4 linked regions of the Oryzias latipes genome follow. The protein of the gene in region 1 purifies or fractionates together with the protein of each later gene. This does not show direct contact. Links are inferred from orthologs where the notes say so. Each region holds a gene or a part of one and is shown in the gene's direction. Other genes may lie near its edges.

The links.
Region 2: the proteins of gnl2 (region 1) and krr1 purify together in Homo sapiens (affinity purification with mass spectrometry; 3 studies listed by BioGRID and IntAct, with this or other methods). This does not show direct contact. The link is inferred for Oryzias latipes from reciprocal best matches to the Homo sapiens genes GNL2 and KRR1.
Region 3: the proteins of gnl2 (region 1) and ubiquitin carboxyl-terminal hydrolase 36 purify together in Homo sapiens (affinity purification with mass spectrometry; 3 studies listed by BioGRID and IntAct, with this or other methods). This does not show direct contact. The link is inferred for Oryzias latipes from reciprocal best matches to the Homo sapiens genes GNL2 and USP36.
Region 4: the proteins of gnl2 (region 1) and rpl35 purify together in Homo sapiens (affinity purification with mass spectrometry; 3 studies listed by BioGRID and IntAct, with this or other methods). This does not show direct contact. The link is inferred for Oryzias latipes from reciprocal best matches to the Homo sapiens genes GNL2 and RPL35.

What each region holds. Positions count from the first base shown.
Region 1 is NC_019874.2:23,617,818-23,625,794, reverse strand, and holds the start of gnl2 (nucleolar GTP-binding protein 2), read left to right. Parts: upstream 1-2,936; 5' UTR 2,937-3,076; coding exon 3,077-3,140; intron 3,141-3,498; coding exon 3,499-3,583; intron 3,584-3,690; coding exon 3,691-3,785; intron 3,786-6,466; coding exon 6,467-6,606; intron 6,607-7,082; coding exon 7,083-7,267; intron 7,268-7,367; coding exon 7,368-7,434; intron 7,435-7,826; coding exon 7,827-7,977. UniProt on the Homo sapiens protein: GTPase that associates with pre-60S ribosomal subunits in the nucleolus and is required for their nuclear export and maturation.
Region 2 is NC_019863.2:1,178,908-1,186,878, forward strand, and holds the start of krr1 (KRR1 small subunit processome component homolog), read left to right. Parts: upstream 1-2,757; 5' UTR 2,758-2,808; coding exon 2,809-2,884; intron 2,885-4,796; coding exon 4,797-4,972; intron 4,973-5,927; coding exon 5,928-6,062; intron 6,063-7,971. UniProt on the Homo sapiens protein: Part of the small subunit (SSU) processome, first precursor of the small eukaryotic ribosomal subunit.
Region 3 is NC_019866.2:10,401,793-10,409,064, reverse strand, and holds part of ubiquitin carboxyl-terminal hydrolase 36, read left to right. Parts: intron 1-2,505; 5' UTR 2,506-2,518; coding exon 2,519-2,771; intron 2,772-2,856; coding exon 2,857-3,078; intron 3,079-4,750; coding exon 4,751-4,861; intron 4,862-5,626; coding exon 5,627-5,729; intron 5,730-5,809; coding exon 5,810-5,877; intron 5,878-6,016; coding exon 6,017-6,087; intron 6,088-6,205; coding exon 6,206-6,288; intron 6,289-6,399; coding exon 6,400-6,511; intron 6,512-7,229; coding exon 7,230-7,272. UniProt on the Homo sapiens protein: Deubiquitinase essential for the regulation of nucleolar structure and function. Required for cell and organism viability.
Region 4 is NC_019867.2:28,010,854-28,018,903, reverse strand, and holds rpl35 (60S ribosomal protein L35), read left to right. Parts: upstream 1-2,875; 5' UTR 2,876-2,994; coding exon 2,995-2,997; intron 2,998-3,445; coding exon 3,446-3,582; intron 3,583-4,798; coding exon 4,799-4,880; intron 4,881-7,845; coding exon 7,846-7,995; 3' UTR 7,996-8,036; downstream 8,037-8,050. Other genes in the region: golga1 (golgin subfamily A member 1), read left to right, coding at 856-936.

The sequences.
Region 1 (7,977 bases):
GTGAATTTTATAACCATAGGACAATAGTTTCTACAACCACAAAGTTGAATTTTTGCTTTTTTGTTGAGCATTGTAAAAATAATTTTTAGTTTCAGTTGCATCAGTTCCAGTAAAAATAATAACAACTGTAAAAGACAGAAAGAATAGCTCCTGACACCACAATGTCAGCCCTGAGTTTTTCAGTAGCCTTCCATCTGAGCCTTGGAACACTCATCGCAGAAATGTTGGTTTTTCTATTGCAAATGCTCTCAACAGTGAGGCTGCAAAGGGGAGCACCCCTAAGCCCTTCATCAATTTTTCTCTTTTTGTTTAGTCAGGCCCACCAGAGCCTGTGCTCTGTCATTTCACTGTTGTTCCACTTTTGACTGGGAGCAGAGACAAACCTAGTGCTTAAGGCAGACGCATTATCCACAAATGCACACATTTGCTTGGGTGGTTGTGCAGCTTCAATGCATTGTCACTGACTTGTGAAGAAACATTTGTCACTCTAAACCTATTTCACTGACTTCTGCTCTAGTGTGTTATAAATCATGAGCATAAAGAATAAAAAAAACTTGAAGGACTTTAGCCACTAACGTTTTTTACATCTCGCACTTCGCCCTTACGGGAATGAGGAACGAGAGGGTGCAAAGGTTATTAAAGCAAATGTTTGTAATTCCTGCCACAGCATATTGAATTCTTATGCAGGCACCGTAAGGAAGTAATTGATTAATTAGATTGTTTACAATAAAACAGTTTTTTTTTCTTTTTAGTGCTGTGGTTTTACAGCTTTCTGTGAATTTATTGCTGTAGTAAGCTCGTTAGATTTTCACAGTTTTCCTGACAAATATCTTTTAAAGCACACTCATTTGAGCGTTTCCATATTGATTCTTCCACGATTAAAAAACTTGTTAGTTGGCGTGCATTCTACAATGGCACAAAACTCAGAAAAAATATACAAGTAATTCAATGTATTCAAAATGTCTTTGATCTAGATAAAAATTTGATTTAAAAGTTCAGAGGTAAGAAATATAAAACATTTATCACCACTTGTATATTAGAGAATAAAATGCAATACTTTTATTTTTTGGTTTATTCTTACCATGCAAACATCCTTTGCTCAGTACTCTGGAAAGGAAAAAAAATCAAAATCAAAAAGACTAATTCCATCTTTTAAGTTCAAAACTGAGAAGAAGGGAGCAACATATCAAATTATCACACCAGCTATACCTAAACTTCCTAAAGCAGCTGCCTTTTTTAAATTTTTATGAAAGAAATACACATCTCCTATTTTTAAGTATTTTATCTTTGTTTGTTTCTTTCTACATAGTTTAAAACTGCTCGTCAGCAGAGCTGGATCTTTAAATGTAAACAATCGTAAATAGCATGTTAACATCCAGTTAAAAAATTTTGTACTCTGAAAATGCTTTACTTTTTTGGTATATATTTTATGGCATACTTACATGAATTAGGATATGGATCTTAGCCAACAACTTGGTTCTGCAGCAGAAAAAAATGTTCAATCGCAGAATGAAGAGGAAAAATACTGGCTGTGGTCACTCTGAGGAAAGCTGATTAAGAGCAGGTTGTGTAAGATGTCATCTGAAATACTTCATATTGATGCAAACTGAGGAAAAGAAAAACAAAAAAAGACTACTAGTTTACTGTTTTGCTACAGTTTTACAGTGCTAACATTGAGGGGTTTTCAACAGATGGTCACAAAGATGTGTTGCATTTGACAGACATTATGGGATCTGATGATTTACTAAAAAAATAAACACATGCAAATTCATGCAAGGAAGCAACTGAAGCAACACATTCGGGAAGGGCGGTGGGGCTTTAGATTGTCTGCTGCTGTTGTGGGGACTGTAAATAATACTTTAAAAAATTACAGCGTCTCTGAAGTTTAAAAAAATTAGAAACGACAACTGTTTCCTCGCTGCATGAATAACCTTAAAAAAAACATCTTATAAGATTAAATTTAACATTAAAAATTTATTCAAATTCATATTTTTTTAATAATTGGGTTTCATCTGCTTGAACTTTAACATAGTGACCCAAAACAGTTTCCTTCAAAAGGATTATAGATAAAGTGAAATCACCTTTCGTTTGTCAGAAAATGAACAGAGAGCATTCCTTTGCCTCCCAGCTGCATAAACTAAGTGCCGGATGGTCTCTTTCCAATTTTTTAAAAGATTTACCGACAACTTGTAACACTTTTTATTAAATAATTGTGGCCTCTGTGACTGGCTGTTTTGATCTAATAACTTCTAGGATATTTATTTTATAAATAGAATTTTACTTCTTTTTATGGTGTGGGGGAACATTTTACAGTTTAAACAACAGAAAGGTCATTGTGCAGTAATCGCTTCTATTGTCTTAAAAGTCAAAGTAAAACTTTTGAGAGAAAGGAAGTAAGATTAAAAATTAAAATTGAAATTCCTAAAGACACCATAGGAATTAAGTTAGCATTCTGCTTTTTTGTAAAATTCAGGTGTCACACATTTGTAAACTGCCTTTTATTACAGCTGCAGAAAAAAACTTCTTGAATTTAATACAGTCAAAAAACGGTGGGAGCCTGAACTGAGTAAATTGAGTATGCATAATCATCATAAAAACATAGCTAAAGATAAACTATTTAATCAAATGTGTTTAACTTTATTTTAACTGCGGCATGACCTATTATTATTAATTGACTCATAAAGCACAGAAAAATGTGATTTAAGTGAGTTTCATCTGCAAGATTTCACCTTACTGATGCCCGTTTAAACATTTTCATAATTTAGATGTGACTGTAAAAAATGTTGATGTTTTTTTTTTTGTTTTTTACAATTTATTAGTATTTTTTTTTACACTTTATAGAGCTGCGATCCTAAAAACACAAGAGCATCATTTGCACGATGGAAAATCCCAGGAGCTTTCTGATTGGCTAGATCGTCTGTCGCTCCTTCTATGACGCCACTTCCTTTTTCTTTACTCTAGCACGTGTAAATAGTACGTGTACAGAACATAGTGCCTAAATTTTCTTTTTTGGACATAGTCCTCAGGTTTTCCATTCGGTTTTCTTCTGGTAGGCTTTGCCAGGGAAGTTTTCAACATGGTGAAGCCGAAGTTTAAGGGGAAATGCTCGATTAATCCCTCATCTTCCAGCAGCAACCCCGGTGAGCTAAAGCACAGAGCTAGCACACGTTTGTTTACACTCGATGCTAACTACTATGGCTAACGAGTAAAGAAAACGTTTTGCCGGCTCAATTGCTAAGCTTAAGTGTCAACCAAGCTAAAGCAGACATACGTTTTACTTCTTTAATTTGAGAAAGCGGACTGTTTGTTGCTGCACTTAACCGAATAATTCTGTCAAGTTTTCTGACATTTTGAACTTGAAGTGAACTAACACAAAACAATCTTCTCTAGTAGTAAAATATATGTTGTTGTTAGGACAATAGATTAGACATGTTTGAAAAACCGATACAGGTTTCACTAGTGAAGGAATAACTTGACTACATCTTGTGCGTTTTACAGATCGGGCAAAGGGAGCTGGTGGGAACAACATGAGGGACCGAGCCACAATCAAGCGTCTGAATATGTACAGACAGAAACAAAGATGGTAATTGATTCTCAACAGGGATCTTATTTATCTTGCTTCTCTATAGATATTTATTGTAACTTTAATCATTGGTTTTGTTCACACTGATGCTGAGTTTCTGTTCGCAGTAATAAACATGGAAAAGTGATCAAACCCCTACAGTATCAATCTACAGTCGCTCCAGGAACTGTAGCCAGAGTTGAGCCAAACATCAAGTGGTTTAGTAAGTATCATCTTCATGCTGTATATGTGAATGTTGTGTGTCTTAAATTGTATCATAAAAAAATCATGGAAGCTATAAAAAAAGGCTTGAAATTTAGGCTGTAATGAGCATTTATTATTTAGCTTAAATAGCTGAAAAATAATAATAACCTGGTAGACAGAAGCAACAGTCTGGGCCAGGTGTGGGCAAACTGCAGCCTATTAAACTACTTAATCTGGCCCACCAAGATGGAATAAATTATATTGATAAATCCTTAAAGTTTAATTTTCAATTCTGGAGTGTCCCCATAAACGGTGCACTACAAATAGGTTGAGCTTTGTTTAGGTGTAGACAGTTGTTCTGCATTCATGTGGTGTTGGAAGGCTTGTTGTCTTTCTTACGGTCATGTGCGTTTTCTGTGTGGAGCGGATATTTTTCCGATCATTCCAACACCACATAAATGCAGCATTTCTCTAAGTTTGCTTTTTTTCACCTGAGGAACAGCCACCCATTGGTGTAATTGGCACTACAATAAAAACAAAAGCCACAGTTTCAAAAGAAAACTTCCACAATGTTCTGTCTTAAAACATGTATATTCATTTTCAATCTAAATTAAAACATGTTTTTGTCCAGATACCATGTTATTTCCTTCTTTAATGAGATGGATTACCAAAACACTCCATGCATCAAATTTTAGAACCTTTTGTGGCCCAGGAGTCAAAAGGTTTGCCCATCACTGGTCTCGGCAGAAATGCCCTGAAGGCAGAAACTTTCTCCAGCCCTTCCAGGATGACTCGGATGTGTTGCCAGGCCAGACACGTCCAGATTATTTCCCCAGGAAGGCATCCAGGAGGCAGAGGTTGTCCCAGAGCTGTCCCAGCCTGGCTTCTGTGGCTGTGGAGGAGCAGGGTCTCTACTCCGAGTTCCTTCTGTGTGGCTGAGCCCCTGACTCTTGCTTTAAAGAGGTGCCCAGTCCCCCTGCAGTGGAAGCCCATTCTGGCTGCATGTATCTGGGAATTTATTGTTTCCAAAGTTCATGACTATTGGTGAGGGCAGAAACATGAATTGACCAGTAAAATGAGAGTTTCGCCCATTTTGGCTCAGCGCCCCTCCTTATTCTGCCATTGGATTACTGCACCCGCTGCATCTATGACTCTCTCAATCTCACTCTCCATGCTTCCCTCATATTTAAGTGAGAGACCTCAACAAGAAAGGTACTTAAACTCTTGTAGTTGGAGCATGACCTTTCCATCAATCTGGAGAGGGTAAATGATCGTTTTACTAGTCAAAAACCACAGCGTCAGACTTTGAGGCGTGTGCTCTGCATGTTTCAAATTTAAATGGTAAATGGCGTATACTTATAAAGCGCTTTTCTACCTTCTTTCGAATAAGGCCCAAAGCGCTTTACAGTCACAGACCCGTTCACCCATGAACACACACGTTCACACACTGGTGGCGGCTCCGCTGCCGAACACTGGTGCCAACCTCCCACCAGAGGCAAGGTGGGATTCAGTGTCTTGCCCAAGGACACTTCAGCACATGGGCGTGCTAGTAGGGAATCAAACCTGCAATCTTACAATCATGGGAGCGACCGCCCTAGCACTGCACCATGGCCGCCCGAAATGAGAAATATTCTCCTTTTCCCTTGAAAATTGAGTTGTGTCAAACCAATATGTGCAGATAAATTACTGTTTTTACATTTTATTTTAGTCATTTATCATTAAATTCTGCAGTTCAGGGGTTGACCTGACGTCATTGTTTCACACGGGACATTGTGAGATTTTACCCTCTTTCAACTTGGACCTTCTGTTTGTTCCTCTCATCTTCTTTGGGCAACCAAGAGCCTAACTGATCTCCGTCCATTTATAGACTGTGTGAAGTCTGAGGAGCTGAAAGAAATGGAAGTGATAATAACTGGTTAATTATTGAATAGACTGCCATCAATACAGCCTTAAATTCTCACCTGTACAACACACTGCTTTGTTTCTTCATATTAGCTCAAATTTAAGTAATAGAGATGCTTAATGACAGCTTAAAATCGGGTGTTATGTGACTAAAATACATAGTATGATATAATAGTTCCAAAGTTTTGTGGTGCTGTTTTTATCAGGAAATGCTCTTTGAGGCCGTAGTCCAACTTCAATCTAAAAGACTTTTAATCACAAGAATCGACTGCTGTTCAAACAAGCGTTTTTAAGATTCCTAAAATATGATTTATGATTCAAACATCATGGCTACCAAGTCACAGCTAATTGACCAAACGTGACATACACAATAACACAAAAACATGTCTCTTTATGTCAGACCTCCCTCCACACAAAATGGTGCAAAATAGCTTTGAAGAAAAAAACGCCGCAAGAAAAGTTGGTTACATTTCAGTGTAGCGCTTTCATCGTAAAATAATAAACCGTCTTCTTCCAAACCCACAGAATCCCCTCTAGGATCACCGGGTTGCTGGAGCCTATCCCAGCTACTGTTGGGCAAAGGCAGGGTACACCCTGCCCAGGTTGCCAGTCTGTCGCAGGGCCAACAATAAAAATGAAGTTCAGCTGACTTCTTATTGAGATTTTATCAGTTAAAAGTTGGTTATTATTTCTCTGAGTGAGGGGAAACAGAAGAAACTAATCAGTTATATTGTAATTATGTCTAAAAAGAAATCCAAAGGAGTCTAACTTAAATATTTCTTTGGTGTTGTGTTTCAGCAAATACCCGGGTGATCAAACAGTCGTCTCTTCAAAAGTTCCAGGACGAAATGGGGGCTGTGCAGAAGGACCCGTATCGTGTTGTGATGAAGCAAAGCAAACTGCCTATGTCTCTTTTGCACGACAGAGTCAAAGCCCATGTGAGTCGGAGGCCTTTGAGCCTCTTTTGCCTTTCAATGCCTCTTCCGATTTATGTATTTCTTAATACAATAAATGACTTTTCTCCCCTCCCTTCCTGGGAAAGAAGTCTTATTTTTCCATATTTTGGCACAATGTTCACAAATAAACCCAGAGGACCTTGATGTAGGAACATGGTTTGAATATTTCTGAGGCTGTTGTCGTCTGCTGTTGTGTATGGATTATGGTTGCTTGTCATTTGTTTTCGTCCTTTTGTTCTGCCATGAACAGTTACTGTGACGCATAGTAACAAGGCTGGGGCTGAAGTACGACATCATTTTTTTTCTGTCTGAGCAATTAATACAAAAAAGTCGTGAACAAATCATTTTGTGGCCGGGATAAACAAATGACGTCCTGCTTATTTTGATCTTTTCTTTCTTCTTTGTGTTGATTAATAGAATAGGATATGCTCTAAGAATGGTTTTATCTGTATTCATAGAACTCTAAAGTCCACATTTTAGACACAGAAGGCTTTGAAACCACATTTGGACCCAAGGCTCAGAGGAAGAGACCCAGTCTTATGGTGGATGACGTGAAGGATCTTCTGGAACGAGCAGAGGCATCAGCACTGAGCTACAACTCCGACCAAGACAAAGACTTGGTAACAGAGGACACAGGAGTCCGGTGAGATTTCCACTCACTCTGAATACTTCAAGAAGCTGTCAAAGTGTCTTGTTTGAGGGCAGTTTTATCCTTTGTTTCCCCGTTCCTTTACTGATTTTAGGGAAGAAGCAAGAGAAGAGATTTTCAAAAAGGGTCAGTCGAAGAGGATCTGGGGAGAACTTTATAAGGTTTGTTATAGTTTTAAAGGTTTTTCATTTTGGAAAAAAGTGGTCAATGACAACAAAATGTTGTTGGAATCAATTTAATGCTCAGCAATTAAGTGAAACAGGGTGTTTACACAACAGTTTATTGAAATTGCCTTGATACAAACTATCTAAAAATAAAAGCTGGTTTTTGCTTGTTGGAGACAAACTACGGGAGAAAGTTTGCTCTAAAATGTTAGTACCATCTGGTACAAATGAATAACTATCATCATGGCCAGTACAGCCATAATATTATATTATTCTACACAAAACAAAAGTGTTTCTGGAAACGCAAATCTTTCTTTTCAGTTAAAATAATAGTTTATAATAAATGGGGGCTGCATGCTCTTTTGACTGTGCCTGCTTCTCTGCAACAGGTCATTGATTCCTCTGATGTCATCATCCAAGTCCTGGATGCCCGGGACCCCATGGGAACACGCTCTAAGAGCATAGAGACATATCTAAAGAAGGAAAAACCCTGGAAACATCTGATCTTTGTCTTGAACAAGTGTGATCTCATCCCCACCT
Region 2 (7,971 bases), on another chromosome or scaffold:
AGTGGTAGAGAGTCCAACCCCTCTCTAAGGACTGTATTTCAGAGCCCAGGCTATGTGTGGAGGTGAGCCTGACTACATCTAGACGGTATCTCTCAACATTTCGCACCAACTCAGGCTCCTTCCCTCCCAGAGAGGTGACATTCCATATCCCAAATGCCAAGTTCCATGACCTCGACTGCCACCAAAACCACCTTGCACTGGCCCCTTTTGAGGTCTCCTATGTGTGGCAGGCTCATGGGAGAATGGTCCCATGTTGCTCCTTCGTGATGTGCCCGACCGGGGTCTGTGGGAAAAGCCCCGGTCACCAGGCGCTCGCCTGTGAGCCTCAACCCCGGGCCTGGCTCCAGAGAGGGGCCCCGGTGACTCCAATCCAGGCGACGTAATCGGGTCCTTGTTGTTTCTTTTCATTAGGGGGTTCTGATCCGCTCTTTGTGTGGCTCGTCACCCAGGACCTGTCTGCCATGGGAGACCCTGCCAGGGGCTTAAGCCCCAGACAGCTTAGCTCCTGGGATCACTCGAGCTCTCAAACTCCCCCACCACGTTAAGGTGGCGGTTCACGGGGGAGCTGGCTGATGGGTCTTTTTGTGAGAGCATATTGGATGCTGAGTCGTCTTGCCCCCCATCATGTGCGGTCCTTCAGGGTTCAGTTCTAGGACCACTGCTGTTCTCCCTCCACTTGTTGTCTTTAGGTTCTATCCTTCGGAGACACAACGTTGCCTTCCACTGCTATGCTGATGATTGCCAGGTCTACTTACCTTTGAAAAAGAATGATGGCTTCTTAGCTAAAGCACTCTTGGATTGCCTACAGGGCATAAAAGTACAGTTGGCCCTGAATTTCTTATATTTCAATGAAAACAAAACAGAGGGCATAATGTTTGGACCTGGTGGCCCTTGTGAGTCCACTTTGCTTTTTAAGATTGACAGTGATTTTAAATTGGAGGGCCAGATTGAATCAGTGGTGAAGTCCTGTTTCTTCCACTTAAGATGATTGGGAAAGGTGAAATTGTTTCTTTCCAGGCAGCACTTAGAAACCTTGATACATGCATTCATCACATCCCATCTGGATGATTGCGATGGACTTTAATTTGGAATGAGTCCGTCCTTGCTATCTCGTCTGCATCTGCTTCAGAATGCTGCTGCTCGACTTTTAACTGGGACTCGTAAGAGAGAGTGCATCACCCCAGTCCTTGCATCACTCCACTGGCTGCCTGTGTTTTATAGAGTTCATTTTAAAATTCTCTTGCATGTTTTTAAGTGTTTACACGGTCTTGTGATGCGTCCGGGACCACCACTGGACGAGGTTGTGGTGCATCCGGGACCACCACTGGACGAGGTTGTGGTGCATCCGGGACCACCACTGGACGAGGTTGTGGTGCATCCGGGACCACCACTGGACGTGGCTGTGGGGGACGGCGGGAACGACGTCGACGTCGACCCCCCCTCATGGCGAGACGGCTCCCAGCATAATCTGGACGGCTCCCACTCCAGGGAGATGATGAAAACTGGGCCTGATCAAAAATCCAAAATGTTCTAGTCCTTTCAGCTTCCTGGCAGTAAGCCTCTAGGAGCATCATGTCCCGCTCCGCTGGGTCCAGAAAAAATGGCTGGTTCATTCTGTCATGTGTAGAGGAGGCTCGAGAGCCGGTTGGACCCAGACGCAGAAGCGGAGGCACGAGGATCAGGGACTAGTGGTTTTAATACAAGGAAACAAACAAAAAGCGCTGCAGAGCAGGTTCACAAAACAAAAACAAAAACTTACTTGGGGAGGCATGAAACGTGGACGAGGCAAGAGACAGGACCATGGACTAGACAGGACATGAACACCATAACAGAGGTAATGAACCAGCACAGGAGGAAGGCAAAGACAAGACTTAAATACAGACAGGGCAGACAAGACACAGGTGGACACGATCAGGGCTGATGGGGACCAAAGGAAGTAAAACTCAAGAAACAAGACAAGACAGGACCTTTCAAAATAAAACAGGAAACAGAAAACAAGACAGAACAAGAACTAAGATGAAAAACAAGACAACAAACTCAAAACCATGACACTCTAAGTATTGTAGACTACAATTCTACTGTTATTTTATTGTATGTTATCATTTTCTTCATTTTTTATTTATTTCTGTTTTATTTATGTGAATATGTGTGTCATCTTTTGAAGTTCTAATAAAAAAAAGAAAAAGAAACTAGAGGAGCTGCATTTCCAGAAGAAAATGCAGGGTTGAATGCTGTACTGCTAAATGAAAGCTGAATTTGCTGAAGAAATGGTTGAACTATTGAAAGTTTGAAGAACACAAAATGACTGCCAAACGGTCGTCATCCCATGATGCTGTAGTCTAAAGCCTTGTGATCATTTTAACATTTGAATGGTGTCCCTAGCTAAAAGTATGTTGAAGTTATAATGGTTGAAAGAAGCTGAAGTTTTCAAGGATTCTCCATGTATTTCAATGAAGGTGAAGTCCTGGAATATTTTGAAAAGTTCAAGGGTTTGAAGGACCAAAATTCATGGCTGGAATAAGCTGAAACAGCAGAACATTTTAATACTAGAATGGTTTAAAATAGGTGAAAATTGGTGAGAATTTGTAGAAGGAGTTTAAAGCCGAAAAACGGTGGAAGATGCTATGATAAATAAATAAATAAAGAGAAACATGGAAACAAAAGGTTGAATGCTTTACAGCATTTCAATAACCCAAAAAGAAAGAAATGGAATATACTGTGGTCCGTTAGGGGGCGAAACGGGTTCGACATTTTTCTAAAGGAAGACACGAGTGACGCTCCTGCGTCACTTCCGCTCTACTTAAAAAAATGGCGTCCTCTTTGCCTCAGAGTGGTACGAAGGAAGCGAAAACGGACAAAAATCCCACAAAAGCTAAATATGACGGTGGGTTTCTTTGTCAAGCAGCTGGTTACCGTTATATTACTTAAACTGCTGATTTTTGTGGACTCGGAACTGATCTTTCCACGTTAAACAAGCCACATGTCCGGTGAAAACGTGTTTTGATCTACTGCTGCCTGCGGCTGCGTCATTTATTCAGCGATCTGTGTTAACTTTATTTAAGTTTGTTTGTTCGGTGACTTAATCTGCATATACTGCAACACTTTTCCTAAATGTACTTGTTAAAAACAAAGCTTTAAATATCGTATTTTTGTTCTACCCTGCCCTCTATCGGACAAAATTATCATGAAGGATGTAACGATTATCGATGTCAATTAATCTATTTATCCAACCAGATCGATGTCTGAAGCAAGTTGTTTATTAAATCGACCTTTACCATTTTGAAATAGTTTTTAAATGAAATAAATTGATGGTAGTTAATTTCGGAAATAGCATTTAGATTGAGACATGGTAGGTTTATTTCACTATAAGATAAAAACCACCAAGTGCATCACAGTGAACAACACACATGTGATGTCATCAAAAACTGATCAGTCCATCATTCCAGTCCAATGTGTTGAAACACTTAGTCATGTGACCATCCAGTGTCTAGAATGTTCCCTTTGGATGAGGAAAAACAACAGTGGTGAACTTTAGGAAACTTACTAGAATGTGAATGGATTTGACATTCATTCTAGTTTACTTGTTTGTTTGGACACAGATTTCATTTATACTTGAATATCTTGAAGAAATTCAAAAATCTGGAAAAACTTCACCTGCATTGTTCAGTAGCAGGAATTTCTCTCTGAGTCACACTGCTTGAAGTTCTGGTTTAAGATGTCCTGGATCCATTTTAGGTTCGTTCATAATGAACCAATATCGACTTTTCTACATCTACCGGTACATCTATTACTAAAAACAGAACGTTGTTAGTACAATTCCTATCAATGAGAGTACTCTCCTCAAGGGAAATAAGGCATTCTGTTTCATTCATTTCAAGTGGGAGGTAATGATGGCACACAAGTGGTCTCCAACCCTGTTCTTTGGATCAGGTGTGTTCAGTCAATCAGAAACTGGGCTAACTCCATTCAGGTAATCAGCAGCTACTGAGGCAGAGTTAGCTGCAATTCAAGCAGGGCAGCGGCTCACAAGGAGCAGATGGAAACGCCTCTTTGTACACCATGTGACTTGATAACCATCACTTTATCTCTCTGTGGGGAACATCCATTTGGTTTTCAACCTTTCAAGTCTGTAGTTACCATCAACTTAATCATCCATTTCAAAGTTTTTATATTTATAACAAATCAATCAGGCAAGAAAAACATTTTCTTTTTGTGTAAAATGTCAGGATTGTTCCACACACTCAAACTGTGGGGAGAAAGTTGTGAAGAGTTCAATATAACATATTATTGATGAAAAATGTGGCTCATTTGAGAGAAAGTTTTCTGAACATCTCAACAGAACATGTGGGTCTCGCAGGAGTTGGATCCAAACTGTACGGCTGGATTTACTCCAAAATTTCTCGCCATTTTGTTCGGTTGGGGTTGTGGTATTAAGGTAGTGGGTGGGCGTGTAAACAGATGGGTGGGGGTGGGGTTCTTTCATGCCAACCATTCAACTCAGAGGTGAATTTCTAATGAACTCCTGCCGCTCTGCAGAAACGACACTAGAAAAACAACCCAGGTTTTTGGATTTGGGTTAAAAACGCTGTCATCCTAATTAAAAGACCACTGGGAACAAAAGATGGTCGAAGTGGAACTTCAAGGAATCTTTTTAACCCAGTTAATTTTATACATCTTTCATCAGAGTTCGTCGGATTCCATGAAACACTTTAAGTTTGAGGTATTGTGGCGTTTTGGTCGTCCTCGCTGTCGGGAGGAAAAGTCTTTGAGCCTTGACTGACCTGTGCATCCTGCAGGGGCAGAAGCTGAACTCATGACTGTTCCTGACGGATGGAAAGAACCGGCCTTTTCCAGAGAGGATAACCCCCGCGGCCTGCTGGAGGAAAGCAGCTTCGCAACTCTCTTCCCTAAATACAGAGAGGCGTACTTGAAGGAGTGCTGGCCGCTGGTGGAAAAGGCTCTTGGAGATTCTGTACGTAAAAACTCAGAAGAGAAGGAATCGAATCAGCTCGATAGATTGATGATCAATATTCTGGACTGCTTTCTCTGCTGAAATACTTTTCTGCCTGCTTAATTTGGCTTGGGATTTGATGCAATCAAACAAATATGTTATTTTCTGTATTAAAAAAACAAATTTGTTTTTCTTATATACTGTTTTTGAGATTTAAACTGAATGTAACACTTTCAGAGGGAAAATCATTGTTGCATTAAAAACAACAGATTTTTTTCCAGTCCTAAAAAATACAGCAAAAAAGTTGAAAGAAAAATGTATCCATAGGTTTGATGAATAGATTTTATATGTTCTAGAACAGGGGCGTCAAACTCATATTCACCGAGGGCCACATCAGCATAGCGGTTGTCCTCAAAGGGCCAGATATAATTTATACATGTAACTAAATGTAATGAAAAATAAATGCAACTACTCCTTAATGTTAAATAACTCATTTATTTAATTACCATAACTTTTTAAAGTGACAATTACAGTTGCATAGTAAAGATATGTTTGCTTGTTACTCTATCATAAATCCTTTTACATTTGATTCTGTCAGGTTAGGTTATATGGACAGTGTTTAAGTCCTAATGTATAGTCGCCCAATCTGATATTTCAAGTCTGATTCCCTCTAGATATGAATAAACACACACCAATTTTTATTTTTTATTTTAAGAAATTATAAACATTTATGCTCTTGCGGGCTGCGGCCCGCAAGAGCATAAATGTTTATAATTTTTTTAAATTTTTTATTAAAAACATAAATGTTTTTAATTTTATGCGTAAAATGACATGGAGGGCCACATTTGGCCCCCGGGCCTTGAGTTTGACACATGTGTTCTAGATGGTTTTTGGTTTTTGGATAAACTGGATTTTTTGAACCAGTCCTAAAATTGTTGCCTTGGTTTGGTGTAGTGATGCTCATTTTGTCTCTCAGCACATCAAAGCCTCTCTGGACCTGATCGAAGGCAGCATGACGGTGTGCACCACTAAGAAAACCTTTGACCCCTACGCCATCGTCAGAGCGAGGGACCTCATCAAGCTCCTGGCAAGAAGCGTCCCGTTTGAGCAGGTAAAGACTTAAGAGTCCTCTCTCATTAAAGCTGATTTTGTTAACCAACTGTTCAAAAATTAGATTTAACCAATTGTTTTGAAAAAGTAGCTTTTACACTGGTGGACAAAATAGTTGGTCCCCCTCAGTTAAAGAATTAAAGTCCACAATGCTCACTGAAATGACTTGAAACGTTCAAAAGTAACAAATTAAAATGTATTAAAAATCAAATAATCAAAATCAGCCATTACTTTTGAGTTGTTAAGTAATAGAATCATTTAAAAAATTTAATACATCAATACATCTTTAAAACCTGTCCAAACATTATACAAACAAACTGTTAAAACCTTGGATAAAAAACCCAACATATTTCACCATTGTCCAATATTACAAAAACATGGTTTACTGCATTGGGACAACATGGTCAAATTTTCAAATCTCTGTCTCATGTACAAAATCCTTCATGGCTTCTCATCCCCTCCTCTTCACCAGTTTATTAACATCCGGACAGCAGATCACAGCAGAACTCGGAGTGCAGTCAGAGGAGACTGTATCATTCCCTTCAGAAAAAGCACTTTTGGTCAGACCGCTTTTTCTGTTAGAGCTGCTACTGAGTGGAACTTCACACCTGTTAGTATCAGAAATCAAAACACATATCATTTATTCAAGACACAATTAAAGAAATGGCTCATTGACAATCAGAGCTGTCAACACTGAGTACATTTCCTATCACTGATCCTCATTACTGTCATGTCTTTTATGTGCACGTATGTTCTTACATTTTTCTGTTTTTGGATTGTTTTATCATTAATTTGATTTTAGGTTAACTGCTTATTTTATTGAATGCATTGTTTAATATATATATGTAATGTTATGTAAATATGTAATTTTACTTTGATCTTTTAGGGTGATTTTTAACATCTTCCCAGGGACTGCAGATGAAAAATAGCCCTTTGGCTAACTCTGGCATATTGACAGAAATGTTTATTAATATGCGCTGTCCCCCCTATTCAAATAAATGACTGACAAAAAACAAACTAATGAAATAGGGCTGGACATAGATGATGGTACCCATAACTTAATATTTTGTTGAACAACCTTTTGAGACAATCACTGCAATGAAACAGTTTCTGTATTTGTCAATGAGCCTTCTGCACCTGTCCACAGGTATTCTGGCCCCCTCCTCATGAGCAAACTGCTCCAGTTGTCTCAGGTTTGATGGGTGTCTTCTCCAAACGGCATGTTTCAGTTCCTTCCACTGATGTTCAATGGGATTCAGATCTGGGCTCATAGAAGGCCACTTCAGAATAGTCCAACGCTTTTCTCTGAGCCATTCTTGGGGTTTTTGGCTGTGTGTTTTGGATCCTTGTCCTGTTGGAAGACCCATGACCTGAGACTGAGACCAAGCTTTCTGACACTAGGCAGCACATTTCTACCCAGAATGCCTTGATAATCGGGAGATTTCATTTGACCTTGAACAACTTCAAGACACCCTGTGCCAGATGCAGCAAAGCAGCCCCAAAACAGAACTGAGCCTCTTCCATGTTTCACAGTAGGGACAGTGGTCTTTTGGTTGGATGCTTCAGTTTTGAGTCTACCAACATAGAGCTGATGTTCCTTACCCAAAAGCTCCGGTTTGGTCTCATCTGTCCAAAGGACATTTTCCCAGAAGCTTTGTGGCTTGTCAACATGCATTTTTGCTAATTCCAGTCTGGCTTTTTGATGATTTCCTTTCAACAGTGGTGTCCTCCTTGGTCGTCTCCCATGAAGTCCACTCTGGCTCAAACAACCATGAATGGTGCGATCTGACACTGATGTACCTTGATCTAGGAGTTCACCTTTAATGTCTTTGGAGGCTGTTCTGGGCTCTTTGGATACATCATAGTAGTAGGTTTAGGGGCTGTCATCTGGACTTTGTTTTTAAAGTTAG
Region 3 (7,272 bases), on another chromosome or scaffold:
TTATTCCCGAATTTTATCAAAAATGATGTTTTAATTTATATATCTCACTCAATATTTCCATAGGTAGCTTTAAAGAAAATCTCCATCTGTTTGTAAGATTTATTAAAGCTTTTTTACATTTTTACACGCTTGAGTGGACAACATGATTATTGCTTTACCTTTCATTTGTTCTTTTTAATGCATGCATCTCCTGTAAAAGCCACTTTTTCTTACACACCTTCACATTTCATTCAGAATTTTTGCTGCATTTACCTCAATTAGCTCAAAACTGGTATATTTCTACGAAATAAAGTGATTAAACAATGTTTTAAACATAGGGACCTATAAGGGAATTCATTAGTATTGGGAAAAAAGAAGAAAAACTAAACTTTTATTTGAAAAAAAAAAAAAGATATGACCACAAAAGGATTTTGACAGAAGCTCATTCATTTGCATGAATCATCTAAACTTGGGAGAAAGTTTTTCCTTTTAGCCAAAAGAGCATAAAACATTTCTTCCTCATCCTGCCAAAAATCAAGTGTTAAAGACATATTGCATAGAATTTAATTTTTTTTGCCTCTACATCAAATCTTAAGGTTTCTATGTTCTAAACGTGTACCCCTTTCCTCCCTACCAATACACACTCAAAGGCATGAGTATACAGTTTGAAGACCGCCGTCGTGAAGACACTTGAGTTTTGAGTACAAAAAAGGTCTTTGTCATTTGTTTTGTTCCACAAGCCTGCAATCAGGGCTTCATGGGTAATTGGTTTGAGGGAAAATGGGAAATCGGGTTTGAGGTCATTAAGACATTCAAGCATTAAACATAGATAAAAGCGTTCAACCTTATAGAAAACAGCGATCCATGAATATAACTCTCACAGTGAGCTGAATGTTGGGTATGTTTGTAAGATTGAGGGGGTTAAAAAATCTGCAGAGCCTCATCTTCATTTCAGTGTGTGTTCATGAGGTTCAGTTAAAGCGTGTTCTGATTAAACGGCATGTTTGCGTTTATTCCTCGTTCAGCAGTTGCATCCCTCCAGATGGCTGTGTGTCCCTGTAGGCTTTGTTCTTAGTTGTATCAGCAGCATGAGAAGGTCAGTGTGCCCTTGTGCATACAATACATGCTTCATCCCTCTTTGTGACGTCACTGCCCTCTCTGACGAACACATTTCTTGGGGAGCTGCTTCATTATACCCCTAAAAATCAGCACGATGCAGTGTTTCTACTCCCCCAGCGTCATCGAGAAATCTTATTTTCATTAAAGGGACTCTGAATGAAAAGTAATCACTGCATTCAGTTTGGCAGAAAATACAGACGCTGTTCTGAAAACCAGGTTTGAGAGCTCAGCATACAGTCTATTTCTGCTGTTCTGGTGATTTATTAGCATCTCAATGAAAACATGACTGTCATAAAAACAGTGGCATGGTTGAAGGGGTTTTGTCAATATCTTCTCCACTTCAGTCCCCATCTTTTTGACTTGTGATTCGTGGCGCCAGCTGGCCTCAGAAACCCTCCGTGTTGTTTGTGCTGCAGCATCAGATGTGCTTTGATGAGGCAAAGAGCGTTCAAGCTTTCAGAGTCAATAAAATGCAGCTAAACTTGAGAGACATGTGAAAATGTCTCACTTTTTTTGTTTAATCAAAACAGAAAAGACAGTATCAGTTTGGGCTTTATGACTTAGAAACTGGTTTTGATTTGAGTTATTTGTAATCTCCTGTTGCCATAAGGAAAAATCATAAAGAAAGGAAAAGTCTGTTTGAAGAATTGTAATTATTGTAAATGTTAAATTATTTAAAGCTTTTGTTTGTCTTCTCATTAGATCCTACACATTGTACAGCTCCCCCTAGTGTTAAAAGGTGGAATCTTTTTTTTCGCCATACTTCCTGTCAAGGTTATACATGAGTGTAAAGCAATGGACCCCAACTTTATTCAGGCCATGGACCTGTTTAATGTCCAAACTTCCTGTCTTTCTCTCTCTCTCTCTCTCTCTGCGTTCTGGCACAAACTGTTTTTAATGAACTGGTATCGGTCTGCAGCCTGGGGGTTGGGGACCGCTGATGTAAAGGAGAACAAAATACATCTAGTTCTGGAAAAAAAAAAACACAGCAGTATTGGTTCAATGCCACAGATACAAAAAAGGTTGTATCGATGGTGAAACATTTCTTTGTCAGGTTCTCTCTACTGTACGCCAGACGAAGATGTCCAATCCCAAGCCTGCGTCTTCCAGGTTGGGTCAATTCTAATTGGCCGAAGGTTAACCAAAGTGGGGGATGTTGTGTGCACTAAACACATGGTACCTCTTTTTTTCTAGCACTGCAAACAAAACCTGAATAAATTAATGTCACACTTTTATTGATCACAAAGAATGTGTTGAAATGGCTGTGACAAGCTGTGGGAGGGAAATGTACACAACCCTATTGTAGACTGTTCTGAGTGGACCAAAGGGTCAATGTTACATTGTAGTTCAATTGCAATGATGTAGTCTTAACAGCCCATAATACTCACCGGCTTACGTTCTCCTCAGTGATGGTCCAACGATGCCGATAGTGGATAAACTCAAGGAGGCGTTGAAACCTGGTCGAAAGGACTCTGGTGAGGACGGGGATCTCAACAAGCTGTTGGCATCGTCTGCCAAGAAGGTCCTCCTGCAGAAAATCGAGTTTGAGCCGGCCAGCAAAGGTTTCTCCTATCAGCTGGACAGCCTCAAGAACAAGTATGTGATTCTGAATCCCAGAAGTGAGGGCGCCACGGGGCAGAAGGCGTCCGAGCCTGCTCCGATAAAGAGGCAAGGTAAAGCTGGTGAAACTGAACATTTTAGATAAAGAAATTTTCTTTGGCTGTTGAGCGCTGACAGTTTGTTTCCTTGCTTTGTTAGTCTCGGAAAATGTGATCTGGAACCAGAGTGACGGGATCCCCGCGCCGCAGAAGATGCTCTTTCCAGCAAACAAGCTGACTCTGAAGTGGGAGCGCGTGTACAGGGTGGGAGCTGGCCTTCACAACCTCGGAAACACCTGCTTCCTCAACTCCACTGTGCAGTGTCTCACCTACACCCCGCCACTCGCCAACTACTTACTCTCAAAGGAGCACAGTCGCACTTGTGAGTCCTTTCTATTGCGTCCCCTTTGCTTACATTAGTCTGACGGGGAGATCTCAAATGTGGCGTTTTTGCAAACTGGTGTAGCTGAAGATCACAGGATGGTCTGTCTGCTGAGTGAGGTGAGGTCAAATCAATGAAAAGAAGTGTGTGTGGGTGGGGTGGGTACATAGATTTTGTCTAGGTTCTTATTAAGCCTATTTTCTAACTTTTCATTTTAAAATAAGAAATGTGTATGCACAACAATTGTTGACGAGGCAAAATGTTCCTGACCTAATGTCTTTTATAAAGAATGTTTACTTCAACTTGACCAAGAAAGTGTGGGGCTGAATGAACATGAACCATTTTTAAGATAACCATAAACAAGTCAACAAAACTCTTTCTATCACTTTAAATGACTAAATCCACTGAGTTCTTTATCGCCATGCCTGGTGTGATGCACGTTCCAGAACTTGCAGCCTACGGCGGTCTTATTGGACTGTCGCTACCCGATTCTAGCGGATGTCCATCCACCACAGATCAGAAATGTCAAAACGGTGCAAATCTTGTGAATCTTGCTCCAGGCATTTTCTTTCACAGCTCTATTTGGATGTGTAAAAGACGTGGTGTCACAGAATTCCGGCACAAACAGGAATTCTTAATTTCTCCTCCAAGATCGATTTTCAAACGGTTGGCATTTGTGTGTTTTGAAAACACAGAAGGCACTACCAAAGCCAAGTGCCTGATTGGTCAAAGTTCATCCTGGTTTAACCTGTAATGGTTCGGTTTTTAGTAGGAAGAGCCTGAAAGCGATCATAAACACGTGCAAAGTGACACTTGAGCGCGGAAGCCTGGAACCCGCGTTTACGCAGCCTTTTTAGTGGAAGTGGTTGCTTGATCGTGCCTCGCCAAGGTCCGTGTGAATGTAGTCGAGGACTGAGCGGCGCTTCTTATTTGCTGGCAGTAACAAGCACCGACACACACAACTACAGCGCCCTCTGGTGGTTGTTTGTATTCATTTAAAAAGAATTACGGTACATACATGTTGGACCAACCAAACTAGGCAAAAAACAAAAATTGTGACCTATACTCCAAAAGATACTGTACACCAATCTGTTGCTACAGTCTGTAAAGATAGTTATCTCCATTGTGTTCATTTGCTGCTATCAAAACATTTTGTGAAACCTCCAGAGGTTTGGCATCTTAGTTTTCTTAACAGAAAAAAATCTGTCCATAGCATTTTTTTCCTTAAAGAACAGCCTTAAAAAGTAAACGAATAAAAGCAAAGAAAGTGACATTTTCTGTTTTTAACTGCTGACTAAAGCTGCAACTTAAGTGTCTCTATAATACTAAGCAATATTGATGCATTTAGAATTCAATTTTTAGACCTTTTTAGCAACACATTTTAACATTTTATATAAAACTGCTTTATCTGTGAGTCCTAGCTGATAATTCAGGCGTACTAACTATCTAAATAAATTTTACATCAAAACGTTTTTGTTGCATTGGGTGTTGATTTCTGCACCCTATTTCTCAACAGAGGAACTTCTCTGATGGCAAAGAAAAAAAAAGTAACATAAATTTATTTTGTTTTGTTTTTCTGTTCTTCTCAAAATGATCCTAAAGACTTGATGAAAGCAGAAATGAGTGTGCTGCTGCTTTCTTTGTGACTTTTACCGTCTCATGTGTGTTCCAGGTCATCAGTCGGGTTTCTGCATGATCTGTGTGATGCAGAACCACATCATCCAGACCTTTGCTAACACCGGCAATGCCATCAAGCCCGTTTCCTTCATCAGGGACCTGAAAAGTACGATTTTTCTCCATTTTTTCACCCACTCGTTTTAAAAGTAGACCATGTCAGGAGCTGGTAGCTTTTTTTTTTTCTTTTTAACCTTGTGGAGAGCTGGGATTAATTGTGAATTTCACCTTCACGCTCACTGCTCTACTGCGTACTTTCTCCCGGTGTCCTGCTGCAGTCGTGCACCCCCTCTATCCTCTCTGACTCCTCCTGACTGCAGGTTTAGGACAGCAGCTTTAGCTTTAGCCTTCCTCTGCTGCTCATTTTCACATTAACACAACTGATGGTTGCAGCTAGAAGCAACAAGCAAATGCAAAACATTTAGTCATCTCCCTCGTCCTCACTAATTCGTCATAAGCGCATCATTCTGTTTTCCCACTCTGAGGTGACTCCATTATCTTCAGTGAGTAAGGATGCAGTGCTGGGAATGTGAGGATCACATTAGAATGATGCCTTCACCATTAGGAAATCACATTGGAGCAAATGTTTATAGCTACATTAGCCGTAATGTGAGGCGTTTACTGTAAATGGGACACAAGGCTGCCGGAGTTATGAGTCACTGCTTGGCTGTTATTTCTGAAACACAAAACAGTGGAAGTTTTCTTGTAATCTGAGGTTGTGTCTTGAGAAAATGTTGGTTTAAAGTATTATATCAATATAAAAGCTTGTAGTTATTTAAAGAGCAATTGCACTGTTTATGTATGTCTACAAACAGTTGATCTTATTATGTGCAGTGTTCCAAAAACGTGTGATGCATTTGTTTTTTTCCAACAGAAATTGCCCGACATTTTCGCTTTGGGAGTCAGGAAGACGCTCACGAGTTTTTGCGGTACACCATCGATGCCATGCAGAAAGCCTGTCTCAACGGTTACCCCAAGTAAGGCTGCTGAGAAGATTTTACATGAGAAACCTGAATGCTGGTCTGACTTGAACCAACGGATTTCTTCCTGCTTGTAGGCTGGATCGGCAAACGCAGGCCACAACACTGGTCCATCAGATCTTTGGAGGTTACCTCAGGTCAAGAGGTATGGGTTCATTTGGTCCACCCTCTCTACTTAGATCAGACTTTTTTCTTACCAATGGTGATGCATCACTGAGCTCTAAATATTCTGATGATGATCTAAACGTTGTTTAATGTCTAAAAGTTTTTTTTCTTTTCCTCAGTAAAGTGCTCTATTTGCAAAAGTGTGTCAGATACTTATGACCCTTACCTTGACATCGCTGTGGAGATACGGGTGTGTAGCACAATATTTCTACAATAACCTCATTTATTCTTGTAAAGCTGATTAAAGTGGATGATTAAAAAAAAACAAAAAAATCGATCTTCAAGAACATTGTTCTGTTGTTTTCCAGCAAACGGCAAACATCGTTCGAGCCCTGGAACTGTTTGTTAAACCAGATGTTTTAAGTGGAGAAAATGCTTATATGTGCGCCAAGTGAGTTCCTTTTTCATGACCTGACACTAAACGCTGACTGGAGGAATAAAACAAAACTCAATTTTTTAAGGATCTATTCATTCAAATGTGATTTCTTTTTTTTTTTTAAAGGTGCAAGAAGAAAGTGCCGGCCACCAAGCGCTTCACCGTCCATCGAACATCTAACGTTCTGACCTTGTCGCTGAAGAGGTTTGCCAACTTTAGTGGAGGAAAAATAACAAAGGTTAGCCGATCAATATCAGTCCCGTGACAAAGGGGGGGGTTAACATGTCCACCAAATATTAGATCATTATGTGGGGGACTTTTCTAAAAGAGTACGTAGATAATCTGGTGTCTTTTATGCCACAACAGCAGTTATCTGGTAATAAGATATCCAATTAGCATATAGATTTCTCCCAGGAAGACTTCCTGTTTTTTTCCACTTATAACTAGATTTTGTAATTAAAGATGGATATATATTTAGTAGTTTTATACCTGCAAATGTGTGAACAAAATGAAGGAGGTGGAAGTCACATAACACCCCAGTGTTGCCGATCCAAGCAACAAAACTTTTTTTCTTTTAAATACAAATTGATGGCAGCAAACTGCTGTTTATTTTGCAGACATATTAGTTTCCACATTAGCAAAGCTAATAACTGGACATTTTTATGAAGAACAGATAGGCGGAGGTATTCAAAAGAACAGGAGGTTTGAAAGCAACATCATGCTTTATGTACTTAAGGTGTCCAAAGTAAATCGGAAGATTGACCCTCCTGTTAACCAGCGCTTTTTTAATAATCGTATTTTCATTGCCTATTTGAGAATATCTAATTACCATATTTTTAAAAAGACTTTCCTTTTTTATCAACAGGGTAATTAAAAAAAAAAGCAACTTTACTTCCTGCTCTGAATATTTTTCCTTGTTTTCTTTTTTTTTTTTTTTTTTTTTTTTTTTTTTAAAGGATGTTGGATACCCAGAATTCCTCAACATCCGCCCCTACATGT
Region 4 (8,050 bases), on another chromosome or scaffold:
AGTCTTGAATTTAAAGTCTTTGAAAGGTTTTTAGATGTCAGTTTTTTACTTTATTTGAATACATAGGTTTTTCCTTAAATAATTGATGAGGGGGCCTGAACTCTTTCCCTTTTTTCTGCAACTCTCCCGGAGTGACCTCTGAGATGTGCTCACATCCATGTTTACCATAAAAAACATTTTACGTGTAAATGTATCAAAAGACTTTTGGTTTAAAATTGTGTAAAAACTTAGTTATGCTGTTGTAATGGCCATACAAACCTGGCAGGGATCCATTGGAAGATTGTTCCAACAAACAGATTTAACTGTTTGAATAGTTTTACTTCTCATGCTCTGGATTCTGCAAAGAATCTGTGACATTTCCTAATGAATACTTGAAAAAAAAGGTTGAATCAGCAATAATTTCACTTTGATCTTGTTTGAAATCCTCTATAGGGGGTTAGATTTAAGATCTGGAAATGGTGATAAAAAAAATGTGCTCATACGAAGCCTTAAACATTTCTTTTGCTTCTTTCTTTGGATTAATTTCACTTTCAAAACGTCAAGGTTTTTATTTAATTATTTGTCTTTAATTCTTTCTTTTTCTTTTATATACTGCTCTCTGTTCCTGTACTGCTGCCGCAATAAGGACATTTCCCCATCGTGGGACTAATTAAGGAATATCTTATCTTATCTTAATTCATGTCAAGTTATTGACATGAATGTTATTATGTAATGTTATTATGTAAAGAGGTCAATTGTTTTTGCTGTAGTCAAGTCACATTAAATGTTTGCATTTTTTCTTTAAATTGAAAAATCTGGTTATTTTCTTTAAAAGAAAATAAAAAAAGCCAAACTGGTTTGTTTTGCGTGTTTCAGATGTCCTGGTTTGGATCCAAGCCGACCCCGAAAGGCATCATCCGGCCGTCGATCTCAGGCAGCTCGTTCCCCTGGAGCTGATGAGGAGGGAAGATGAAGAGCAGAAACAAAGCTTCTTTTAGTTGTGACTGCAATCACTCAACAAAACTTTGAAGAGCCTTTTTTTAATGACTTTACGCGACAAACGGTCTGTGGGAGACGGAAACTGCGCTGCACAATATCTTAAAGGGAAATGGGGGCTTATCCAGGATCGTTTCATTCGAATATTTCCTCACTAGCTGAAGCAGATATCCAACTTAAGCTGTGAGATGTGACACAAATAACTTCTTTCCTTTTACCGATTGACAGGAAAGTGTGTTAGTATCATCAAATGAGAGTAGGATTCCCTCACTGTAACTGCATGAAGTTGCATCAAATCTTCCTTTTGGTTCAAATTGTGCGTGACTGGGATGTCTGGACAGATGGCTCCATGGGCTTGTTTCTCTTACTCGTTTTTAAAAAAAAAATAGCAGACTGCTTTTTTATGCAAATATGTCCCAATAACAGCAGGGTGGACCTGTCCAACAGTCACATCATTTACAAAAAGGATGGAACCTGACTTTGTCTGAAGACGTGGAGATTTAAAGCTGGCAATATTTTACTTCTCATGCTCTGGATTCTGCTAAGAATCCGTGACATTTTTCCTAATGAATACTTGAAATATCACAGAAGAAACTCTGATGTTGGTTTTTAGGGAGGCGTTTGAAGAATCCTTTTACTGGAAACAGTCTTTTGTGTAGCATTATTTTAACAGTTAAAATTCCAACATCTGTTGAACCGTCTTTGTATGATGAGCTACAAACTGTTTAGCCTACTTTTTGAATTGCAGGTATCTGAATGTGTCTGCACACTATGAGGCTGTTTTGACTGTTTCTGTCACGAATTGGCCCACCCTCTGTCAGCTGATCTGGGTAGATCACAAACCAAAAACCAGCAGGTGTCAACCCAGTGGGTGGATATGATTTCATGCTTATCATGCCAAACTACCTGCTAACTATTCTAGATGCTATAGCTATTATAGCTAATTAAATCAACCCTATTCAGACAATTATACGGTATGTGATGAAATAATGAAGGCTATGGTTATGATTGAGGTGGGGGATTGTCCCACTTTTAGCTGCTTTTGCTAATGTAAATAAATTTACATTCCATGTGTTTATTTATGTAAAGATGTATATACGGCAAGCTTTGAAAACTTTATAAATCATTGGATGTACAAGGCTTTGTGTGATTTATTAATTTTTTTCCCAACAATTATTTCCCATGGACATTATCTAGTTTTTTTTGGGCTGCCTTATTTCCCATAACTGCTTTATCCACTATGAATTAGTTTATCCACACATATTCTTGGGCAAAAATTGGTTGAGATGTTAATTTCACTTTGTTTTTCATCTTGTACCTCTGTTCATTTTGTAAGCGAGTTTAATGAAGCAAAAAATGCTGTGCTTATTAGTCCCCACTCTGATCAGGTTTTGATCTAATGTGAAAGCGTTCCCAGTGTTTTCTATTTTTTTTAAATTATGATTATGCTTGTTTAGCCCCTTTTTTTTAAACTGTCGTTTTTTAGAACATAGTTTCTTGGCAGTAGTTCATCAGAAATTCCCCTCTTGAGTTGTGGGCCCCCTTCCCATCACCCATAACTGAGCTTTTTGTTTACATGCTCTCCGGCTAGCTTGTAGCCCCTTCCACCCCAATCTAACATTACTAGTGTAACAAAAATCAAAAATGGAGAGCAATAGTAATAATAATAACAATAATCTTTGCAGAAACCACTACAGGTACATCATGCAGAGTGTGTTTTGGCCCTCTGAGTTTGTCTCTTATGGGTCTTTTTCCTTTGTTTTAAGCTTCTTCGCGTCGTTCCGTTTAAACAATGGTCCTTCTGTATGCTCGGGTCATAATTGTGTGATTAGATTCATGTTTTATCATGAGATGACGGGGTCAAAAGCGAAGGACTGATTTGGTTTTGATGTGGTTGTACTCCTTACCCGCCACAAGGGGCGCTGTGTGTATTTCAGAGAGAGCGGCGCATCCTCCGGAAGCTACTTTTTTCGAGCACGCGGTGTGTCCGGCCTTTCCAACGGAGCGGCGACGAGGAACATGGTGGGTAAAGAGAGCACTCGGCCCTTAACGACATTTTTCCCCTCTCAGCACGCATTTAACTGACAGAAAATGCATTCTATAGGTGCTTTAGGTTATTGGGTTTGAGTTCGTATAGGCGACGATGGATTATTCACTACAAGAGTTTGGAAAATACTAATAGAAACGGAGCGCTATGGCGGAACGACGCCTGTGCTGAGATGTTAGCTAGTCCTTACAGAACAAAGTAGCCCATTCTGTTGTCTAGCTTCGTTTACATACACAGTTAACTTTTTATTAATGTAACGCCTATGGAAGTTTCAGAAAAAAACTAACTTGATTGGTTGAATAATTGACAAAAGCTGCTGTTTGTTGACGCGCTGTGTTAGCTTAGCGTGAACTAGCGTTAATGTGTTAGCGATCCTAAGTCGGACATGCACAGTGACCTGCTCCCACCTATGTCCTCGTCCAGGCCAAAATTAAGGCAAGAGATCTGCGGGGCAAGAAGAAGGAAGAGCTGCTGAAACAGCTGGACGATCTGAAGAATGAACTGTCCCAGCTGCGTGTGGCCAAAGTGACCGGAGGAGCCGCTTCCAAGCTCTCCAAAATGTAATCACCTGTGCTTGACACGTACCACGAGGTTTTGAATCGTTGTATTTATTAATGATGGTTCCACTCCGGAAATCTTTATAGTTTACTTCAAGAATCATGGACTCCTAGTGAACGAATTAGAGTTGATAATTGGCAACTAAAGCTTACCTGAATCTGTTTTTTTAGGTCTGACGATTTGCTCTTTAACATCTAGCCTTTCTCCAGTCTTCTCAAAATGTTCAAAAATGTCCAGCAACCCTCAGTAGTAACTTATAAGGTCAACAAAATGAAAGAAAAGAAAAAATTTCCCCAGATTTTTCTTGTTAAAAGAAAATTATGGGGGGAAAAAGTAAGTGGCATAGGCTCACACATTGTTTAAATACCCACTCTGAGCGTCTTTTGATCTTTTGTAAACATATTTTAATTATGATTATGCCATTTTAAGGCTAAATCAAAAAACTTTATTTTCACGGACTTGTTTTTCTCTTTTTTGCAGAGAAGCAGTAATTTATGAGAAATTTTCGTGAGTTGTAGGCAGGACCGTTTGGAAGCAACGCTGCCGCCTTTTCCCAACAACTGAGCTGTTTAGTGCATTTTTTTGGCTTACAGCCCCTCAGCAAACTAACATTAGCGGTACAACAAAATAGCGAGCATTATTGGAGCTATCAGCCATACAGTTTAGATCCAGATGGCAGCTCAGACGATGAAACAAAGATGCACAGCGTTTTATTTCAGTCACGAATGCGATCTTTTCTTATTTTTATTTTATTTAAAATGGCTTGATTTTTCATATGCTCCCAATTCACAACAATTTGAATACAGAAATACTCAGAAATGCTATTTTAAGCTTGAATTTTTGTAATAAATGTTCTCCGTCATTAAAAAATAAATGCCAAAAACATCATTTTCATCAGAGTGGGTCTTTAAAAATTGTGAATATTTATTTTTAATATTGATCAACTTATAGTTTGAAAGTAAAATATGCCAATATTTTACTTTCAATTACTTTTTCTTAAACTATTAAGGTTTTAAATTGAGCTAAAAACAAATAATTTGTTTGAACATCATTGTATTGAATCTTAAACGTTGTGAAACTAAATGACTATAGTTTCAGCCCAAAGATTTTCCTTCCTAATTTAAAGTGATAATTCTTCGTAAAGTCACATTCAACTGTCTTGCTAAGATGTTTTCTAAAGCGTAACTTTTCATTTTCAACCTTTTCTTTTCTTCAAAGTCGCGTTGTGCGTAAATCCATTGCCAGAGTCCTGACTGTCATCAACCAAACACAGAAGGAGAACCTGAGGAAATTCTATAAGGTGAGATCCCTCCCAAAACCGCTGCCAACTGTGGTCTTTGATGGTCTTTGTTTTCAGAGAGTGGAAGCTCACCCGGACTCTGGTGCAGATCAGAAAAAGTGAAAAGAGTCTGGCTTGAGTTTAAACTTTTAGCGTTTGAATGCATGGAGGCTTTTGATTAACTAATAATTATAATTGATACTTTGTCACAATGTGGAAATTCTTCTCTGCATTTTGACCCATCCCCTGGGGGGAGCGGTGAGCTGCAGACTATCTGCGCTCGGGGGGCGACAGCTGGCTGGGGAGAGCGGGGATTGATCCGACAAACCTTTGGTTGTTAGACGACCTGCTCTACCACCTGAACTAAACTGCTGCCCTGTGTCATTCACGGTGTCCACGAAGAGTCATTCATCCAGGTTGACTCTATCATAGTAGTGGGTTTAAAGGTTGTCATCTGGACTTGGTTTTTAAAATTAGAAGCTGTTTCACCATCTTATCCAAAAGGCCTTGTCAAGTCTGAAATAGCCGATAAAAAAGCTGGTTTATATGCGCTCGTGGGGGCGGAGTCAGAAAACTTCCAGTCCAGATGACAGCCCTTAAACCTAATATGATAAACTTACAGTGGTGAATGTAACCGGGCAGAGGGGGGGCGATCAACGAAGTCAACGCGATGCATAGAAATGTTCGGGGGGAAAAACCTATCCACTAATCTAAATGATTAAAAAATCAGGTAAACGTTTGGTGGTTAAACGCTTAGTGCGAAGCTGTATAAAGGGCGAGCAGGACTCTCTTCTTTTTTCTTTTTGAGTACTGCACGACTGAGGCCGTTTTCAGACTGAACACATTTGGTACGCTTAAAGTGAACCACCAATAATCCAAAACAAATTTTCAGTCTTGATGTACCCAAGCAGGTGCCAGGAACCGCTCTCTGACCCACCTTCCGTCATGGCCTCGGTTAGTTTCCAATCGGACTGAGCTCTAGTTCTCTCTGAGATTCCTCCGTCTGAATACAATCCGTCCCCCGGAGCGGAATAACTGGACCAAGAGTAGCCGACTAAAGCAGAGTAGGGCTGAAGCAACAGATGAGCCGCGGACAAATATAAAACAGTGATTGTCGTGTTATCAAACAGAGAAAAAAAACTGTCTATTTGTTAGAATGTTTTAACACTGCTGAAAATGCTTTTTACTTTTGTCTCGTTACGCAGCACACACACTACAGGCACCACTGTGACGTCATCCTAAAAGCTACCTAGTAGTTCCTTAACAGAATTGTCTTAACCCTTGTGCTATCCTATGGGGTCAAGATGACCCCACCCTTACATTGACGTGTTCTCCCTACCATGATAAAGGTGGAAAGATTTCATGGACACCAGTGAAGATCACAAATCGTTGAAGAAAAAAGGTTCAGAGCACTGTTTAGTGGGTCTAGATGACCCAACTCCCAATGTTAAAGTGCCTACGATAGCACAAGGGTTACAGCAATGCAACAACACCACAACGAGGAGACACGGCAGCTCATTAAAATGTGATATAGTGAAACAACTTTTAACGCGGGACAAATTGCTTCTCACTGTTTCCTGACAATCTTTTTGTCATGAACACTCATCAGCGAACCTTCTTAGCTGTCTTCTTGCCGGTACGTCTCCACCTGACTAAAAATGTGTTGAGCCTGACGCTGTTGAGCCTAAAAGCACAGGACTTCCTTAATTTCTGCCTCTTGCTGCTTTGCCCCGTCCTCGCACTCCCTGACCAATGAGTAAAGGGATCTTTGGTCACATTGTTTTGTGTACAAGCTTTAGTCTGGAAAAGGAAAGGAAAGGTTCAGGATTTGATCTGGACCAACAGATTTTTCTGATTTTCCAGACATTTGAACTCTCCTAAGAGCGCAGTGTGCAACTAACCAAAGGAAAGTGTGAAAATTATTAGCATTCCCTGCCCCTCTAACAGAATTCACAGGGCGGTCCTACTGTGAAATGAACAGAGGGGTCTACTCACTGCACACCCGCTGGGCTGAGCCGACGGGTTATCTTATGCTACGCGTCCACCGCCCTCTGCGGCGCACAGTCAAGCAGCCGCTTTCAATGAGGGTCTATGTAAACACACATATACACACTTTAAAGATTAAACCAGGGACAACTTTGACCAATCGTATTGGGTAGTGTTGCATGGAGGAGAAAATGATTGCGGTTTGTGTTGGGCCAGAATAATAGAACGCCCAGTCGTTGATGTGGTGGAAGGGAGCTGTGAAGGAAAAAGCCCGGAGCAAGATTTCTACCGCTTTGATAGTTCGCACAAAGCCTCTTCCGACTGTAAATGGCTGACATGCATAAGTAAATGGTAGAAAAAGAGAATTGTCCGGTGTGAACACCAAGAATGCGGGTCACATACCTGATGTGAACGCAGCTGTGCACCAAAACAGCTGGAGGGAAACATTAACTCCTATTGGCTGAAAAGATCCATCATGGCTGGAGCTTACAGCACTCTGATGTTGATCTGAAGTCCAGGGGCCGGTGTCATCACATCTACCATAAGGGCCGTACGTTTTGGTCAAATACTGTTGTGACCCGACCGGTTCTGAGACGGGTTTTCAGGTGGACCAAACATCCCAATCCCACTGTGCCCTTAACGGTTCAGGTTCAGCTGCTCTGTCGTCCAAACACAGGAACTAGGTGTCACTTATCCCCTTAAAGAGCTGATTAGTCCAGCAAGATAGGAAGGCACTCAGTAGAAACTTCCAGAACTGCATCAACTGAATGAAAGCTGCTGTGACATCCTCATGAGTTAGAACAGGTCACTGATCCGTCAGGTCATCTCACTGGTCATTGTTGTCCTCCTGGAAGAGTGTAAAAGCCACACTTGCATCCTGCTGACAATCATCAGTGTTTGACTAATCTGCTCCACAAAGCTCAGAATAATTCAAATGCGTTGTGTTGATAAAAACGAGGCTTCAGTTGAATAATTTTGCCCTTTTGAATGTTTCCCACAGGGCAAGAAGTACAAACCTCTGGATCTGAGACCCAGGAAGACCAGAGCGCTGCGCCGCCGGCTCAACAAGCATGAGGAGGGTCTGCGCACGAAGAAGCAGCAGAGGAAAGATCTCCTCTACTCAATGCGCAAATTTGCAGTCAAAGCCTAACGGCTCTTCCTGTTGACAATAAAGGCCGTTTTGAAAAGTGGCGTGCTCGCATTTC